Nothobranchius furzeri: one gene and its partners. The protein of the gene in region 5 interacts with the protein of the main gene of each other region in a pairwise test. Links are inferred from orthologs where the notes say so. Each region holds a gene or a part of one and is shown on either strand. Other genes may lie near its edges.

Region 1 (2,836 bases), on a different chromosome or scaffold from region 5:
CTTTCTTGAGCTTTCACACAAAGACGCACACATGCATGCAACACAATCTCATTTTTTCCTGCTCTGTTCTTTCTCTTCTCTCTCTATCCTCTGTCTCCTGTTCCTTGCATTCCCCTGCAGACACTGTGGATGTGTGTTACGCCATTTGGTGTGTTTGAAGGCAAAGAAAGAGCAAAGTCACGCACATTCATGTGCTAGCAGTCGAGATGGGGGGGGGGGGGGGGGTGGAAGTCAAAGGAAGCATCTCTTAGCAACCACAGGACAGTAATTACTGTAGCAGCAGCTAGGAGCAAACCAGATTTCCGCTGTGCGTTAAAGCACTGGTGTGGGCTATTTTACACACGGCACTGACTAACCAGAGCCAGCAGCCTCCTCCACATGCACAGAGGAGAGAGGAGGAAAGGAGCTAACCCTGTCTTCATCAGGTTGATGTGTGAGACAAGAGGGCTAGCTGGACAGCGACTAGGGTTGGGTCGGAGTTAGGTGAGGTTACCTCAGTTTGCGTCAATGTTAGAAGTAGAAACAAAAGTCTCCTGAAGATCACATCCATCTTCATCTGTCAAACCTGAGATCATATCTGACATTTATTAGATGCTAATTCTAGACAACCACCCTAATTTCAACACTTGAGTTTTTCCTATCAGGTCAGTCGGTGCAAAGCGAAGAAAATATTTACTTTCATTTATCTCGTTGTATTGTTCAAAAGCATTTTTTTCTGGTGTGTGTTTGTTTGTGGGAACACATGCAAGCCTGATGGGAACTCTGAGTTCTTGCAACAGAAGGGCCTTGAGTCATCACCACACAACAAGTCATTTTGGCTGAGCGTGGGTGCAGGATGCCCCCTGGTGGTTCAATAACACACACACACACACACACACACACACACACATGGGCGAACACAGCCTACACACCTTGAGTCAAAGCTTTTCTAGTCATAAAAGCTGACCACTACTGCTCAACAGTGAAATAATATTCAAAGTGAGAATGTCAAATGTTTAAGCTGCAGTTTTGGTGTGTTTAATTATGTATTATTTATTGGTTAGTGATTTGGGTTGCTTATCAGGAATTCTAAACGTGTTTCTGCTAAATGTAGTAGTCACTGTAACGGCTATGAATCATGTTCTATATATGCCAAGGGGGCTGGTGTTCATCTAAAATTTTTAAAAGCCTTTTTTATTTTTGTGTTTAATAATAAACTCACTTTGGTTTCCTCAGGTGTGCAACGAGCCTCCCTCGATCTGCACCCCAATGAAAGAGACCTTCGTTGTCCCCACCGAGCCATTCCGAGGTTGCTACGTCCCAACGCAGCCCTTCAATGAAAACCGCCGCTACTTGCCTCCACCGGTGAGTTCCTGAAGCTGCCTCTTCTGTTTAAAAATTGCATCATGGAAAAACCTTTTCTGATTTTTTTTTTTATTGTTTCTGATGGTTTTCTTTAAGTCGACTCGTCGAGTCAGCTTTCACTTGGACGAAGAGGAGATTGTTCGCATCAACCCACGTAAAGACGTGTTCATCCGAGGCTATGAGGACTACCGCCACCCTGTCATGAGCAGACGCGATGCCGACCGCGAGGACATGGACTTCCCTGCATCTTTTAACAAACTGGACAGTAAGAAGTTTGAGTACCTTTTTCCTGATGGCCCCGGTGGAGACTCTCACTCTGGCCCCGGTTTGGGAATTGGAACAGGGATGGGGCTCGGGCTAGGCAAGGACACGGCCATCAAGACTCAGCCGTCGCCCCTTCTCAAGTCGAAGAAGGGCCGCCGGCGAAGAGAAGACGGCGAGCGCTCGCGTTGCATTTATTGTCGAGAGATGTTCAACCACGAAGACAATTGGCGGGGGCAGTGTCCGGATGCCCCCGACCCAATCAAGCAGTGTATCTACAAAGTCAGCTGCATGCTTTGTGCCGAGAGCATGCTGTATCACTGTATGTCCGACTCGGAGGGAGACTTTTCAGACCCGTGTTCGTGCGACACCTCCGACGAGCAGTTCTGCCTGCGCTGGCTGGCCCTGTTGGCGCTGTCGTTCATCGCGCCCTGCATGTGCTGCTACCTGCCCCTGCGCGCCTGCCACCACTGCGGCGAGGCCTGCCACTGCTGCGGGGGCAAGCACAAGGCTGCGGGATGACCCGACATCGGACACCGGGACACCCTCAAAGCTAGCTAACAAAGGCAGTGGATAAAAATGGAAAATGATTAGCCGGCATCCTTTTTTCATTCCTCTCCCTCTCAGAAGGGGAGATGTGTTGTTGATCCCCAGCTCTGAGGCTTTTTGGAGATTTCAGTTTGTGTTTGTCGCCGACAAGCAGCAGCAGCGGAGAACAAACTATTTGCTTTGCCGGAGCTCTAAGCATCAAGGTAAATGCAGGAGCTTAAACTGAGGCGAAGAGAAGGAGGAAACATTGCGAATAACAGACTTGGAGATGTTACACCTGTACACACACATTTACACACACACACACACACACACACCTCTCAGACCCACGCTCACGTTGGCAAAGCCAGGCCGCAATGTGTAACTTTATGAAGGAAAAGCGATAAAACAGACAACTACACCGTGTTGAGAACAAAAAAGCCAACTTCTTGCTGTTTGAGTATGCTAAAAGGGATGTGTTTGTGCTTTTTTTTTTTGTGGATTTGCAGATGGGTAACAGTGGCCTTTCCCTCATGGCTTAAGCGTTTGCTGACAATGTAATTACTCGCCAGAGAAACGTGCACTACATGATCATTTCCTCCAGTTCAAAATAACCTTTATGAAGTTCTTGTGGCATGTTGTCCAACATGTTTATTAGTGTAACTTTTAACATTTGGGAGATGTTTGTACTGGATGTGAAGCC
Region 2 (4,216 bases), on a different chromosome or scaffold from region 5:
TCTCCTACACCTATCTCCTGCATTACCTTCTGATAGAAAATAGATGGTGAAACTCTAGGATTTTAAAATCCTCACACATCTATGTCACACTATGAATTTGCATTCATGGTCTCGCCCATCTTGGCAAGCGCCCGTCCACAGGAAGGCTTGTTTTTTTTGCAGCAGGGAGAGCGAGCGGAGGGTGTTTTGGTGACAGTGACATGGCTGAACATGTTCTGTTAGCCAATCAGAAGCAAGACGTGTGCAATTCAATAATAGTAATGAGTAATTCTACTGTTTTCAGTCCATCTCTGCACCAGAAAACATCTGCATCTCATAACAGGAGCATCATAGCTTTATTTTTTTTTATGGCTCATAAGGCATTGAATTACACTAAAGAACACTGCACAAGTATTGAATAAATGAGTAAATCCCTCCTTTAAAAGTAAAATATTTGACCTTGGATCGGTACCAGTCCTCTGTCTCCTGCAGGTTTGAAGTGGCCATATTCTCGTACTGAACTCTGATGTCTCTCAGAGCAGCAGTTAAATCTGGTTTTGACACATCCACGTCAACGTGGACCTGTTGGGCCATGATCTGCTCCTGCAGCTCACGCAGCTCCTGGAAGAAAAACGTGGCAAAAGTCGTGATTTTGCTAAAATCTGTCTAGTTGTTTTGGACCAACTTCAGCGTTTCTTCATACTTCTTCATGAATTTTCTTCAGGAAATTAATTTCATCCTGCAGGGCCTCGATCTTTCTCTCCAACTGGACCCGACTGAGCGCTGCTTCATCCACATCCTGTGTGAATAATGAGAAACATCGCAGGATGACAGCAAACAACATTGAGATTGTCAATATTTTAAAGATTTTTTAATATTACTAATATTTCCACCTGTCTGAAGGCGTTCAAGCTGTTCTCTGCTTCCTGTCGGAGGCCCATTTCATCCTGCAGCCTGAGTCAAGAAAAATGTGAAGAGCTTCTTACTGAGAGTTCCCAGCCAGGAGGAATTAAATTACACTAAAATATTTCTGAAACATTTGATATGTATATATGTATATATATATATATATATATATATATATATATATATATATATATATATATATATATATATATATATATATATATATATATATATCACAAATGAGAGCACAATGTCTGGGGTCCTTGGGTCAGAAAAAACAAACTCCTGCGCAAAGTTTAGTTAGCTAAAGTTTAATTAAGAAAAATTAAACGTATTTTAAAAATGTGTTCAGATTTTTGTTTTGTCTTCTACTGAGCTGCAGAGGAGTGGCAGGACTCAGCTGAAAGAGCAGCGGCTTACGCATCATTACACTTCCAGTCTAATCTAACAGCCGGAGGAGACCTTTCCCACGGGATGGAACACACACACACACACACACACACACACACACACACACACACACACACACACACAGAGAGAGAGAGAATCCGTGTCAGCGCAGCACACAGACTGATCCTACCCACTAGAAGCAAATGAAACGTAGAGTGACATCATGCAGCTTCATGCAGAGGTTGCTAACAGAAAGAGCAGCACGAATTTTAAAAAAGGTGACCTTTAACCCCTGAAGCAGCAGCATCCCTATTCATCCTGCAATCTCTCACAGGACCAGCAGCTGCTTGGTCAGAGGGCAAAAAAAAAAAAAACCCTCCAGTTTCCACCCTGAGACTTTCTATTGGCCTGTCTCAAAATGAAAAAGCTGACATGAGGCGTGATGGTGGATGTGGAGAAAAGGAGCCGGATAACCAGCGGTGGTGACTTTGTGCTTTGGAGAAAGAGAGGAAAGCTACATCTGCCTGGCATTCTGTTCCCTTTGTGGAGCGCCACCATTGTGCTGCTTCATTCCTCCACACTGACTGAATGGCAGCGAGGGTTCAGTCAGGATCACGTTTGTAAAGAGGGATAGAGGAGTAAAGCCCAGGCAGACCACAGCGCTCTGCATTCCAACCAACCACAAACACATGTAAACAGAAGCGCTACGTAAATACAGACATGACAGGTGTATTTACAGGAATTAACAAAAACATTCTTCACAAGGTCAAATTACTCCTCTTTATGTAGTTTGAAGCACTGAGACTTTTTTGGGGGCTGTTCCGGTTTTCTCCTGGATTTATAAGCTGATGGGAAGAAAAGACTAGGGGAAAAGTTTTAATCCCATCATTATTTCTGTGAAGCATCAATAGGACAGCGAGCACACAAGACACACAAAGGCCCAGGTCTACTTTGGGACCGTTCTCTCCTACCTCTGCTTGAGCGTGCCCAGGTCTGCAGACAGGTTGTCCCTCTCTATCTCCAGACGAGCCTTGCCATTGGTGAGATCGTCCACCTGCCGTCGTAGATCTCTCAGCTCCATCTGGTAGATGTCCCCCAGGCGGCTAGGCTCCTTCCCCTTCAGCTGGTTCAGTTCTGCCACCAGAACTTTGTTCTGCTGCTCCAAAAGCCGCACCTTCTCTATGTAGCTGGCAAAGCGGTCGTTCAGGCCCATCATCTCCATCTTCTCGTTGGTACGAGTTTCTTTGTACTGGGCCTTCAACAAGGAGTCAGCTGAGAAGTCCAGCCGGTCAACGGGGCTGCCCAGCAGCAAGGCCGTGCTGGAGGAGCCCAGGGAGACCCGGGAGACGGGGCTGGAGTGGGTGATGCTTCGAGGGGCGCCATGCCAGGAGAGGCGGTGGGAAGATAGTCCACCTATTTTACCTCCTGAGCTGCTTGAGCTCTGCGGCCCAAAACGTCTCCTGTATGAGGACTGTGCTCTAAGGCTGTCCATGATAGGGAATAAGCTCATTCAGGGGACAAACAGGGCTTTTATATAGGGAGAAACCCCCCCACCCCAAGTCCAGCAGAGAGGCCACAGGCTGGGGCAGTGAGAGAGGAGGGTGGCAGGCAGTGAATGGAACAAAAAGAGATGGCAAAGGGGAGGTTTACATGCGCCAGGGATTGTCTGTGCTCCTCCACTCAACTACAAATGTCTCCTGGATTTTTTTTTTTACCCTCTCGTCTCCCCCTTTTCTCCCCTTGGGCTCACTCTTTCACGCTTACGTTCGCCCCGTTTTTGTTCGCCCTCTTTCTTTCTGTTCCAAGCGAATGAAAAGGAATTTTGTGCAACAGAGTCTGGCCACAAATTCAACCTGACCACACACACTCTCGCAGCCGCGGCAGGAGGACCGGTCCAAACAGAAGAGCATGTTGGGGAGGTCGGCAATAAAGACAGAAGATAAAATCACATGCTCACAGCATGCTTTGAGCTCTAAATAAACAAGATGTAGGACTGAACTATCAACATTCCTCCCGATTCCTGTTGGGATCTAGTTACGTAACGACATAACTGCTAATAAACTCGAGAATAATTTAAAACATTGGATTCATTTTTAGAGTTACAGGTTTTCCGTCCTGCATCCATATCTGCAATGCTTAAAATGAAGGAAGTATAGGAGGAGACAATAAATGAACACATTCTGAAAGTTTTATTTAAAGATAAACAGGAAGACAAATCAGCAAAGGTCTGACATGAGAGACCCTGCTGATCATCTGTGGCTCAAGCTTTCAGTGTTTGCGAGGCTGTTGGTAACAAATTAAATAAAGATTTAATTCGAACTGGTTATGGATCCACGCAGAAGCCAATCAAATAGTTCATGGACCAGAGCTAACATTTCTCAGAAAGGATTTAATCACTGGTCTGATAAATAATCATCAGTTATATAAAGCTACCTTCTCATTTCACAGTAGAGTAATACATGAATTCATCCTTTCAGCATTTGTGGGTAATGATAGCATTCATCCTGTCATCATCGTGGAGGATGCAAACCGCTGTAGAAGAAGAAAAGGAGTTACAAGATTTTGATTCTGATGATTGTGAACTAGTTTCAGGTTATTTGACATCCGGCTGCTTGGAGAGACAGATAGACGGAGTAGATGAAGAGGAGCACGACGATGAATACAAGAAGGACGGGGGGGGGGGGGGTTCGGTGAGTGCAAACCTAATCTGAACTTCAGAATGACAAACGGAGGCTGCATTACAAAACCCTTTTGACTCATTACCTTGACAACCGCTGGGCCGGCTACATCAGAGCACTTCAGCAAATCTTCTCTTGACTTTTTCTTCGTCTAAAGTCGAGCAGGAAGAAGAGAATGTGACCTGCTTTCTTCTGTAAGTGGCCAGAAGGGTCCCTCAGTGCAACAATGTTACCTAATGAGGCCAGGAAGCAGGTGAAGTGAT
Region 3 (4,172 bases), on a different chromosome or scaffold from region 5:
GGCAGCCTCCTCATGCTGAACCCTTAGACCCGCCCACAAGCTCACAGTTTAGCTCTGCCGTGTCGTGCCAACATGTGATTGGCTGTCCCTGCTGTCGCTCTAAATCAGTCGCCATGGAGACGACTGAAACCGGCGTTTTGCTCGTCGGCTGGAGTCTGCGCTCAGCTAGCTGTGAGTGTTTTATTCTGCCTGCATCACGTCAGCTGGATGGATTTTAATATCAGCTTTTGTTTACATTAACATTCGAGTCCGTGGTTGGTGCGTGTTGAGCAGAGTCAGCATGTCTGAGACAGAAAAGAGGACACGGGAGATTCTCCGCGTCATAAAAACTAATCGAATGAAAATAATTCCAACGGTTGGTATTAAGAAAATCGCCATTAGCTTTTCAGCATCACAGGAAACAGAGCAAACCGCGACGGGAGAGCGGAGAACGAAGCGGAGAGAACTGATCACCTGCATCAGCAGATTTTATAACGTTATGGAAACGTCACAAAGAAAATCCACCTTAGATGTCCCAGAAGCTCCTGGTGACTGATTACTGTCAAACGCTCGACTATTTACCAAATGTAAGATTCAGCTTCATTCCAGCATTATTTATACTTACAATAAATATTTATTTAGCTGAAAATATAATTTTATATCTGTGCAGAATTTTATTAGTTGACTTTTTGTCATGAAATGTTTAGATTTCGCCTTTTGTTATTACTTTTTATCCGGCTTATCAATAGTTATTATGCTGATAGAAATTTCCAGACAGTTGTGATGTGTGAGTGTTATTTTATTTTACCTAATATTTATTTTACTTCATGTCGTTCTCTGAACCAGAGCACAGACCTGTGGTCAGACAGGTCTGCGGTCATTAAACTGGTAAACATGAGGCCAGAGGTCGCACTGTTTTCTGACTGTTTGTGATTAAGTTCAGAGTTTAAACTGTTCATTAAAAATAGTTTGACCAAGTCCTTTTGAGGTTCCTATTTAGTAATAAATGTAAAAATTTCAATTTTTTTTTCATTTAAGCTGCATTTTTACAGACTTTGATCAACATAAATACTAAATAGAAACCAGACACTGAAAGCTGAGGTTGTTCTGATAAAAGGAGCAGAGTAACAAACATTTTGCACTTTTTGGAACCATTTCACAGCCAGAAAAACAATACCAGTTATATTTATGATCATAAGAGGGTTAAACATGTGATAAATGTTCTGCTGCCCACCAAGAGATGGTAAAAGTGAATGTGAGCATAACTGCATGTTTTATTACATTATTGTGTATTTTTATTGTTGACTATCATGTTATTACAACACTAGAAATAAATAATGAGGTAAATACTCCGGGTCAGCACCGTGAAGCAAAGTTATGGCCATAGCAGTATTCTGGAAATGAAATGTGTGTGTGTGTGTGGCCTTCTGTAAAGGGTGTTAGGTTGGCAGCAGAGCTCTCAAGTTTAGGGTTCAGAGTGAGATTGTGGAATTGGACCAGGAACTTCTTACAGACAGGAAAAGATCTCAGCTACCATAGCTGCAGATCACGCTGGATAACTTCTTGTGGTTGCATTTATTTTACTTTACTCATATTTTACCACCTCTGACATGAGCTGTCTTCAGTCAGTGTCGAATACAAATACAGACAGAAGGACAACTTGGGACCAGCTCAGTGGCCTAGTGGTAGTGTCCTCCCTGGGACTGCGAGATCAGGTTCGATTCTCTGTCGGGTCACACCAAAGACTTCAAGAGTCTCATTATGTGAACTTTTTAACTTGTTGGATGGTGAATCTGTTTAAAAATGTTGCTCTATATGTGCCCCTTTATGAACTTTGAGCACCCGCCTCTTCAAAGGTCTCTGCCCTGCATATAACCCAGATGTACACGCAACTAACCTACAAGGGCCGGGCCGTGCCGACCCAGGGGTAATAGCTCCATATATGTGGTGTTTAATGTTACCTCGATGACACCATCAGGCTCCATCCCATCTGGCCCTCCATGGTCTCGGTCTCTTGAGCTGGAAGAAAAATGCGTTACCGGTTCAAATGTACTCAATGCAGTTTAAATTAGGGGGGAGGGTCACGCCCAGTGAGTCTTATTTCGCTGCCTGGAGCTCCAGTGGGCACGTGCGTCAAATTCCACTGCCGGCGCATCTACCTGCCCCTCCGAAAATGCCCACTTATGAAACCTCTATCCATGTGAGAACTGTTCACACGCCAACTACGGCACACGTGATTTCGAAAATTAAAAAAATAAAATAAAATCACCGTCCCACGCGTTCAGTGCTTTCTGACATGGACTTTCCCCGCTATTGGCTAATATGTCGGGTGATTGGGCCTGTGAAGCCAACAGCGGTTTCTTCCGAGAACTAGGCCGAGCTGTGGTCATGCCCGACAAATTACCTCCACACTACCGAAAACAGGAAAAATGTCCGAGTAGCCAAGCGCAGAGAGGAGAGCGAAGACGTCGTTTAAATGTGGAACAGCGCGGAACCTAGGGGCTAACCGCTAACACTAGCAACCAAATCACTTCCGACTAGCAGCATTAGGGCCTAGCTAACGACATATTACTAAGTTACCGTTTGTACTTCTAACCGGAATCGAAGGTTTAGGTAACACCGATCATTACGTTTCGTGTCTGGAAGTGACTGAATGCAGACTTATTACCTGTTGTAATCAGCAGAGTCGCCAGACATGATCCGTTCACAACCGCAGCATGCGACTGAAAAGATCGCTAATGGCGACGCCAACTGCTTTTATGGAGTCAGACGATCTTCACTGACATCTCTACAGCTCACGTTGGTTAACAAAAATATTATTTGACTGACTAATTGATTGTGTGTTTGACATTTTATCCACAGTTTACTATGTCCAACATATTTGTAAATAAACTGATAATGTGTTTAAATCGCTCAAGACTATATTTCTGTGCGGAGGTATAATGCAGTAATGGGGTAGTACCTCGACCTCTATAGTGTAACAGGTGGGTCAAAATTCATCGTGACTAGGTTGTGGAATATATTAGAAGCCAGACTTCCGGTTCCAAACAATGATGAATGTTGATAATGAAAAAACTGAAATGCTGTCATAAAACAATGTTTTTTTCCCCCGCAGTCACTTGATTGGCAGGATTTTTAAAAGAAGGAATAAGATTTGATAATAATTAACACACTGATGGAGGAATATACTCAAAGCGACAGTTCAGATCTAGAGAAGAAGTTTTTTTGTTGAAAGGTTACTTCGTCTGTTATAGATAGCTTTTCGATTGTTTTCACTTCATAGAAGCACAGATAATCAGATAGACAGCAAACACTCAAAATGGGGCCTGGTACAAGTGTGTGTCTGCCATGTAAAACAACTCCAACCTAAAAAAAATCACAGCAGTTTGGGCTAACATTTCATGGCACTGTAGTACAGTTGGCCACACACTGTTATTTTCATATGAATCTTAGTATATTTACAGCAAAAATCAGTAGAAAATCACTCCTGCAACATTAAATGAAAAATTGGTAGCAACGTTTAAAAATAGTATTTAAAAAGCTGTTATATCAACTGCTTTAACATTTCTTTTGTTGATGACAGACATTCACATTGTAACTGTAAATAACTGTCTGGTTAAAAGTAATCTGTTTCTCCAAACTGGAGTTAATCAAAGATTGTTTTAAAAAAGGGAAGATAACAAAATTCCGTAACTTTCCCACGTAAAAAAATCTGAACTATTCAGAATCACAATCACTTTAATTGTTATTGAGCCATCGTCCCAGCACAATGAAATTCAGTTTCAGAACAACCTGTCCGAGATTTGCCCTACCGCACATTACAGGACACATAACAAAATCAGGCTGAACAGTGGGCATGCAGCTGTTCACGGCGCTCCAATTTATGCAGAAAAGAAAGGGCAACAAGAGGATATAGAGCTCCGGGAGTTGACGTCACTTCTCCCGGCATGCAACAGTTCAAATCGAAACGGCGCCATATTGGCAGGCAGAAGCCGGCAGCTGGACTATTTGTTATTGTCAGAAAACTCAATCGAACAGGAAATATGGTAGATTCCCGTTGAGCCCCAGGATGCAGAACAGACGCGGACGACATAAGGGATGAGTCATCTACAGGATTCCCCAAGATCCGGAGCGCCACAAACGTTGGATCATTGTAATAAAACGCGCTAGTGACTGGGCTGAAATGAAGCTGT
Region 4 (2,974 bases), on a different chromosome or scaffold from region 5:
CTGAATCTTCCTCTGAGCCAGCTGGACCACACAATGACACCATCAGGAACAAAGCCAAGTCTTTCCCCCCTAGCTCCTCATCAAGCCTGTGTTCATGACCCACCTGGCACGCGAAGAAGTGTCCGCTAATCTTTACAATGACCTGGTCGTTCTCATCGGGCGTCTGGTCCCTGGGCACCACCACCTCAGCACAGGTCAAATTCTGAAGCTCGTTTACCTGAAGATGCATCAAGGAACCAAATGTAGCACTGATGAGTAATTCAGTCGTGTGCGAAATCCTGTCACCTTCTCACCGTTTTTCCACCCTTTCCAATGACGCGTCCCGCAGCAAACGAGGGAACTTTGATATGCGCTTCCAGCTTCACCTCCTCCTTGGGTCCAAAGAAGTTCTCTTCTTTTAGTTTGCCAAATATACGACACTGGGCCTGTAACCAGAAGGGTTCGAGTAAAGGGGTTTTTAAACTCGGGAACCTACACGTCACTGTAACACACAAACAGCTCACAGACAGATGAAGGGCTATGGCAGGGGGCCCAAACTCTTGATTTTCATTAACAGGCTGAAATGGTGATTCGATTGAGTAAAGGCATGTTGGAGCAGGGAAACCACTAAAACATGCTAGAAAGCAGTCCCTGGGTTGGGGCTTAATGTCTCCGGCTCGCTGCAGCTACAATGGAGGACTGAGCCGCCTGCATGTGCTGTAGAAGAGGGGAAAGGCAGGGGAGTGGCAAGCCTTTCTAACGTGTGGGTGATGTACACACACACACACACACACTTATTTATTCTAATTTATTTGGAAATTTGTTTAATTTTTTGTTTTCTTGTTTTGTACGAAGCTGAAGTTATAAATATAAAAAGCAAAACGTTTGATTTCATAAATGATCAATTTGAACTCTAAGTAAACGCAAATTTTTATTGCCAATTAAGATAGATAAATCACAACAAGCAACCTGAGTTCATGTACATTTAGGGGTGGTGCTCAATACGTTTGAGCTTGCAGAGGCTGCGGTTCTGCTGAGGTACGAGCAAAGAGCACTGGGAGTGAGCTTGGGATGAAAGACGGTTCCAGGGCATCTGTTTCAGCACAGAGAATTAAGCCAGAGGAGAAAGTAGCTTCAGACGGCAGGATCTGGAGTCGTAGTTCCTGATATTTAGGCATCTCTTCTCTGATTGGCTAACAGCAACACGACTCAAACCACCGACTCTGTTAGCGCTGCAATGTTGATGTTTTATTTGCACCAGTAACACAAGCCTGGAGTTCTGCTGTGTAGTGGAGTTGCTAATGCTAACGTTAGCTTCTACTAGGCAGAGACGTTGCCGTTTCCTGATGCTAAAACAGCCTTCCCCGTTGCAAGTCAAGATGGGTGAGTCCATGAATGTTAAGTAGTCCTGTCAGACATTTCTGAACCAAGCATTTTTTTTGGTCTATTTTCTATCAGAGGCTAACGCAGGAAATAGGTGTAGGAGATCGTTTTCACGTTTAGCCTGCATGCTAACTCAGCGGCCAATCGTTTTCAATACCGAGTAAAACGATGGTCAGTGAACCTGCTCCTAAATGTGAAGGTAGCTTCACCTTAAACTGAGCCTCTGGAGGTCCAACAATGATGACCATCCTCTGCTTGGCATCCATTCCTTCTGCAGGAGCAATCTGACACACACACACACACACACACACACACACACTGAATTAATAAACAGCTTTACGTTCGTTCATCATGTTCCTGGCGTACGCTCAGCATCACACATTTCATCCGTCACTCACCTTGATTGAGGCTCCTGCAAAATGTGACAGCTGTTTGATGTGCTGACCCTGTTTTCCGATGATGGCTCCCACTGCTAGTGCAGGGATGAACAGGTGAACGGTCTCCGACTCCGGTTGTCCCTGCTGGGCAAAAACAACGTGGTTCTACAGCGGCCAGTCTACCAGTCAAATGTCACGTGGACACCATCGACTCGTCGTCCTTGCAACCATGATGCCGTTGCAGAAAGTGGGTGGAGCAGAAGCTGTTCTATCATTTAGGAGTTGGGTTTAGTTTATACTAATCCATCAGCAGCTATGAGCTCACGAGCACACGTATTAACAGAGACATTTTCCATTTATACTTGTCGGTACGGCATTTTGATGCAAAGAACTCGCATCAGGGGCAAAAATAATGTAGGTTTTGTGTGAAAATGCGTCCAGGACTAAAAATGTGCATCACTTAAGTTACGTCATGGAACCAGACATGGAGAAAAACCGCGGGAAAATGGCTGCAAGTTCAGGGAACCTCCAATCCTTCCGTCAGGAGGAAAGAAGTACCATAAATCTGGCCATGTGGTGAGTAGCAGCTACGCTGGGGGGGGGGGGGGGGGGGGGGGGGGAGAGGATTCTGTGGTGACGTGCCCATGTCCGATTTGTAGTCGTGCTAATTACAAACTTTTACTACCTGATGAATATCAAAGTACGTGACTGGCATGGTCCAAACACTCATTAGTTTTCATTTAAACTGCAGTACAACATGTGCGTTCCAGCACGTGAAGCAAAGCAAAATTAGCTCTTTAAGCTCCGATGACTTGGCATTTATTTTTTGTTCTTCCGGGGGCCCATGAGCCGGCTGGAAAGTGAGGTGGTTTAGGCTCCCTATCGGGAGTTCTTGCGATCTGTGACTTTTGACGAATACTTGGAAAAGTGGGTTGGACTCCATCCGTCCTCACGAGCCTGTTGATAGAGCGCACTTGCGACGGCGGATAGTGGCATTGCGTGTCTCCGCACCGATGCAGACGATGACGTATAAACTAGACTTAACTCTTTAAACCCCTGGTTGATCAGAAGAGGCATCTGTCTAGCACTGTGGCCGCTTCAAGCTCTTGTTTGTTGCATTTAATTCTGTGGAAAGCCACAGTTTGACTTATCATGCGTTGAGTGACCAAAGATAGTATTTAGACAACCGTTACACCTAAAGACTACACGGACAGGAAGAAGATTTCTTATCCAGT
Region 5 (4,007 bases):
GTGTTAGCTAAAGCTGTAATCGGTCCAGAAACCTCAAAATGGGAAAAAAAAGTTTACTGACATTTTTCACAGGTTCCATGTTGCCAAATGTTGTTGTTGTTGTTGTTGTTCTGCATCAGTTTGGATGTTTTAATAAACATAAATTATTGCATGGATCATTTTACTCAACCATTTCCCCTTTAAATTAGCAACAAAAGGGTTCTGCATCTCACTGTTGTCCACCTCTAGCGAAACATCAGGAAACCTTCACAGAATGTTATAAAGACTAACACAGAGGTTAAGTAACAAGTGGATTTTGGCCCACATGGGGACAATTCCACACGTTTTCCCCAAAACAAACCCTTGCTGCTGAACGTGGAACGACTCCCAGGCAGATGTTTGTTGTATGTTTGAGCGTCTGTGCGTTCCCTAGAAAGGTTTTTTTTTTTGTTTACTTTGATGTATGTTTAGCCTCAGAATCCTCCGTTATCTCTGTGTTTATTATATTTCTTGCTTCTCCATAATGGCGACTGATTACAAAACATCCACCGTCAGTACAAGCCTTTGTTTCTTCTTGTTGAAGACAGCAGACGCGGTGTCTTCGTTTACAGTTACCGGCAGCTCCAGAAGCAGGTGGTACACGTCCGCCACCTCCAGAAGAACATCCTCCTGCAGAGAAAAATGCATCCAGGACTCTGTAATACTCCCTGTAGACCTGTTATGTGTTTTTATCAGATCCAGCGATGCGCTGAAGCCCAACGGACTCTTAAGTGACTCGCTATAACTCTTAGAGGGTTTGTGTGACTGCTAACCTTTGACACTCTCAGCTGGCACTCCGACACGGTGCGAACCTTTGGCAGCTCCACTGTCAGCTCCAGGCTGCGAAGAACTCCTTCTGTGTTGGTCTTCACCTCAAGTTGGTACTCTGGCTTCTGAGGCTCCACAGAAGTGGCAGAGATTACTTGGATCAAGTTCTTTTTGGGTCGCTCTGCAGGTCTACAGATAATTTGGGCTGTAGGGTTCTCTTCCTGTTTCCCTGACTGCTGGGATGAGAGTTGCTGCAGGAGGGAATGTGGAGTCTGACTCACTGTGGTAAGAAAGGTGATAATACATTTTAAATATCAGACTAAACTAAGCTTAAGCGGAGATAATAACAGGGATTAAACACTCGTTTACCTGTTTGTGTTGGTTTGAATGTGTAGTGCTGCTTCTGAAACCCAAGTCGACACTTAAATTGATCCGGGCTGCCATTTGGGCTACACCGGACAACACTGAACTCCTGAGATAGCTGCATCCCATGATGCTGCTGGGCAAAGTTCAGGGCCAGCTTATAGACATAATTAATGTCTTTATCTTTATTCTTCTGTAGCACCGCCGGATTTAACGCCACATCCAACACGACAAACCAGCCTGCATGGAGAAAAGCTTTGAGTTCATGTTTGTCTTAACGAGCAGGCCTGTGGTATAAAACACACCTTGGGCTTCAGTGGTGCCTGTTTCCAGTTTTCCTGTACACACCGGTAAAGAACTGCTGTCATCCCGAGGTGCAGGTACACTTTTCCAGCTGCATATATTAATGTAAAGCAAACCTGGTGTTGGTTCCTGATGAGAACACAGATGTACACTCACAACAGGACATTTCAAAATTATAAATAAGTTTGACTTCATTTATGAACGTGACACGAGTCAAAACTGTTCATCAAAGAATAATAACTACAAATTTTACTGATCCTTACACATTTATTTATGAATTTTCATTCTAGGCTGGTAAAATGTGGATATTTGAAGCTGGGGCAGTGAAGATTTATTCTTAAATTATATTTGCTAATTCTAAAATGTTGAAGTATGGATTATGAATTTCTTATTTTATTTTCACACCGTTGTTGCTACTCTAATGTTACATTATAACCATTGTTGCTCCAAAATAAAAATAAAAACTAATTCAATGATTTTTGTAGACGTTAACGAGTTTTAAATTATAACTATCGATTGGACATTTAAATATTAACATCTAAACTTATATTTAACAATAAAAAATGTTTTTCTAAAACAACAAATGGAGACTGAATGTATGATACATGGGGCTTCCATATATTAGCCTTCCTGAAGTACACCTGGCTGGAACTTCCTCACCTGTCGCCAGTTTAACTTACCAGGATTGGAGTTTTAATGCAGGAGTGGAGCTCAGGTGGAGAACATATTTCTGCTCCTTTCTTCATTTGCTCCTCGATGAATTTGTGGTATCCTGCTGGGTCATTCTGAGACAAGTCATCCAGCATGGACCAGAACTGGTTGACCTGCTGCAGGACATCCTCTGTCCGGCCAGCCGAGGACATGGTACGCTACCTGCTAGCTACTTTTAGCTAGCTAGCCCCTGCTGCTAGTTCGATTAGCTTCAATAGAGGAGGGATACAAGCTAGAAAAATGCTAGAGTGTAAGCGTTAAAAATAGAGGAAAAGGTTTGTATGTGGTATATTTAAAAAAAAGTGTCGTTATTGTTTTAAGAATTTAAAAACGAGCAAAGTCGTAATAAAAGCATTAACGATGCAAAAAGAGCCCCAGCTGCGCTAAAGTTCGTTGCTATGGAAACCACAAAACTTTAAATCGTCGCCACCTAGCGGATAAGATGAACTGCAGCTTTAGTAATCATACCCCACATAGCTGACTGGTCTGGGCCAGATCTGGCATCAGCATGGCACTGCTGGCTGACTGCTGGCATGGCAACCAGCGTTTCAGCCGAGTTCTGGCACTAAATACATACCAGACATGACCCAATAGTGGTTAAGGTGTATGTGGCCCGGATCTGTATGCTAAATGTGGGTCTATTAGGGCTGAACCTATGTTGCCCATTGCATGCAATTCTCCATCAAATAAATACTTCCTTTTTTTTCTAATTTTAGAGATACCAGCATCCCATTCAAAATTCTATGAATTGTTTTTATAATTTGTTTGCTAATACATTTAGGATACATTATGACAAATTTTGTCACTGCAAAAAACTTGGTAACGCTTTAAAAGATTGACTGATATATGTGGGGGTGGGGGTGGTTGAGTTGGTAGAAATCATGTTGCAGTCAGGCGAGCCAAGCCATTGTGTTAAAAAGAAGCATGATTTTATTATCAGTACATAAATAATATAACAGAAAACACATGTTGATACATTCTGTCTATTCATATGTGAACACCATATAACTGACATATGTATTTAATGTATGATTGTTCATAACGTCTCAAACACACTAAGGGCATCCTCTTGTTTGTTGTTTTCAGTAACTCTGCAAACAAAGAGAGTGATCATTAGCAATCAGTGTAAATTGTTTCATTGTGCAGCCTTTAGTGCTGCAGAGCAAAAACATAATGCAAATGACTGTAGTCAACAATCTCATGTGATCTAAACAGTTTTGATGTTGTAGTTCATTATTGCAAAGAGGGAAAAAAGGCCTTCTACTACTAGAAAAAGCAACTGAGAATGAAAGTTTTTGAAACAAATCTATAATTTTTAACTAATTAATTTGCTAACTATATTGCAGCTGTTTGATTAAACGGTATAGCACAATAGGGTTGGCATTACATTGTTTATCTTTGTGGTTTTTTGTTATTTTAACAGCAAAATAAACCAAACCTCAATTATATGATAGATCCAGTCCAAGAATTCAGCCACTTTGGTGTAAACCCCTGGATGGTTTGGTTCCGCACATCCTGTCCCCCAGCTGACGACTCCCACCAGCCTCCACACATTCTCATCCTGGCAAACCAGAGGACCGCCACTGTCCCCCTGGAGAGGTAGATGCACAAGCTCTTCTCTAAATCTCTAAGCACAAACAGTGGTGTCAAGTTCAAATACTTTGTTACCCTACTTAAGTAGAAATCGTGGGTATCCATACTCCACTGCAAATGCTATGTCCGCTGCTTAAATTTTCATACAATTTCCTCTGTCTTCTACTCCTTACAGTGTAAATTAGCCTTGTTGTTTATATTTCATTTCAGATTTTCATTGTTAAAGAAACCCTCAAAGATAAAAAGATATA

The links.
Region 1: the proteins of pih1d2 (region 5) and spred1 interact in binary tests that used the Homo sapiens proteins (3 or more experiments, as listed by UniProt). The link is inferred for Nothobranchius furzeri from reciprocal best matches to the Homo sapiens genes PIH1D2 and SPRED1.
Region 2: the proteins of pih1d2 (region 5) and gfap interact in binary tests that used the Homo sapiens proteins (3 or more experiments, as listed by UniProt). The two-hybrid records come from large-scale screens. The link is inferred for Nothobranchius furzeri from reciprocal best matches to the Homo sapiens genes PIH1D2 and GFAP.
Region 3: the proteins of pih1d2 (region 5) and eif4a2 interact in binary tests that used the Homo sapiens proteins (3 or more experiments, as listed by UniProt). The two-hybrid records come from large-scale screens. The link is inferred for Nothobranchius furzeri from reciprocal best matches to the Homo sapiens genes PIH1D2 and EIF4A2.
Region 4: the proteins of pih1d2 (region 5) and igf2bp3 interact in a two-hybrid assay, tested with the Homo sapiens proteins (2 studies listed by BioGRID and IntAct). The two-hybrid records come from large-scale screens. The link is inferred for Nothobranchius furzeri from reciprocal best matches to the Homo sapiens genes PIH1D2 and IGF2BP3.

The regions. Positions count from the first base shown.
Region 1 is NC_091758.1:26,594,193-26,597,028, forward strand, and holds the end of spred1 (sprouty-related, EVH1 domain-containing protein 1), read left to right. Parts: intron 1-1,215; coding exon 1,216-1,344; intron 1,345-1,440; coding exon 1,441-2,127; 3' UTR 2,128-2,325; downstream 2,326-2,836. UniProt on the Homo sapiens protein: Tyrosine kinase substrate that inhibits growth-factor-mediated activation of MAP kinase. Negatively regulates hematopoiesis of bone marrow.
Region 2 is NC_091745.1:10,095,907-10,100,122, reverse strand, and holds the start of gfap (glial fibrillary acidic protein), read right to left. Parts: upstream 2,803-4,216; 5' UTR 2,786-2,802; coding exon 2,247-2,785; intron 934-2,246; coding exon 873-933; intron 779-872; coding exon 683-778; intron 601-682; coding exon 439-600; intron 1-438.
Region 3 is NC_091751.1:69,527,089-69,531,260, reverse strand, and holds the start of eif4a2 (eukaryotic initiation factor 4A-II), read right to left. Parts: upstream 2,805-4,172; 5' UTR 2,677-2,804; coding exon 2,648-2,676; intron 1,999-2,647; coding exon 1,941-1,998; intron 1-1,940. UniProt on the Homo sapiens protein: ATP-dependent RNA helicase which is a subunit of the eIF4F complex involved in cap recognition and is required for mRNA binding to ribosome.
Region 4 is NC_091751.1:26,461,700-26,464,673, forward strand, and holds part of igf2bp3 (insulin-like growth factor 2 mRNA-binding protein 3), read right to left. Parts: intron 1,884-2,974; coding exon 1,761-1,883; intron 1,647-1,760; coding exon 1,572-1,646; intron 426-1,571; coding exon 294-425; intron 218-293; coding exon 104-217; intron 22-103; coding exon 1-21. UniProt on the Homo sapiens protein: RNA-binding factor that may recruit target transcripts to cytoplasmic protein-RNA complexes (mRNPs). This transcript 'caging' into mRNPs allows mRNA transport and transient storage.
Region 5 is NC_091753.1:48,839,194-48,843,200, forward strand, and holds the start of pih1d2 (PIH1 domain-containing protein 2), read right to left. Parts: upstream 2,807-4,007; 5' UTR 2,316-2,806; coding exon 2,133-2,315; intron 1,582-2,132; coding exon 1,455-1,581; intron 1,390-1,454; coding exon 1,156-1,389; intron 1,067-1,155; coding exon 792-1,066; intron 649-791; coding exon 514-648; 3' UTR 1-513. Other genes in the region: tmprss5 (transmembrane protease serine 5), read right to left, coding at 3,246-3,254, 3,602-3,754.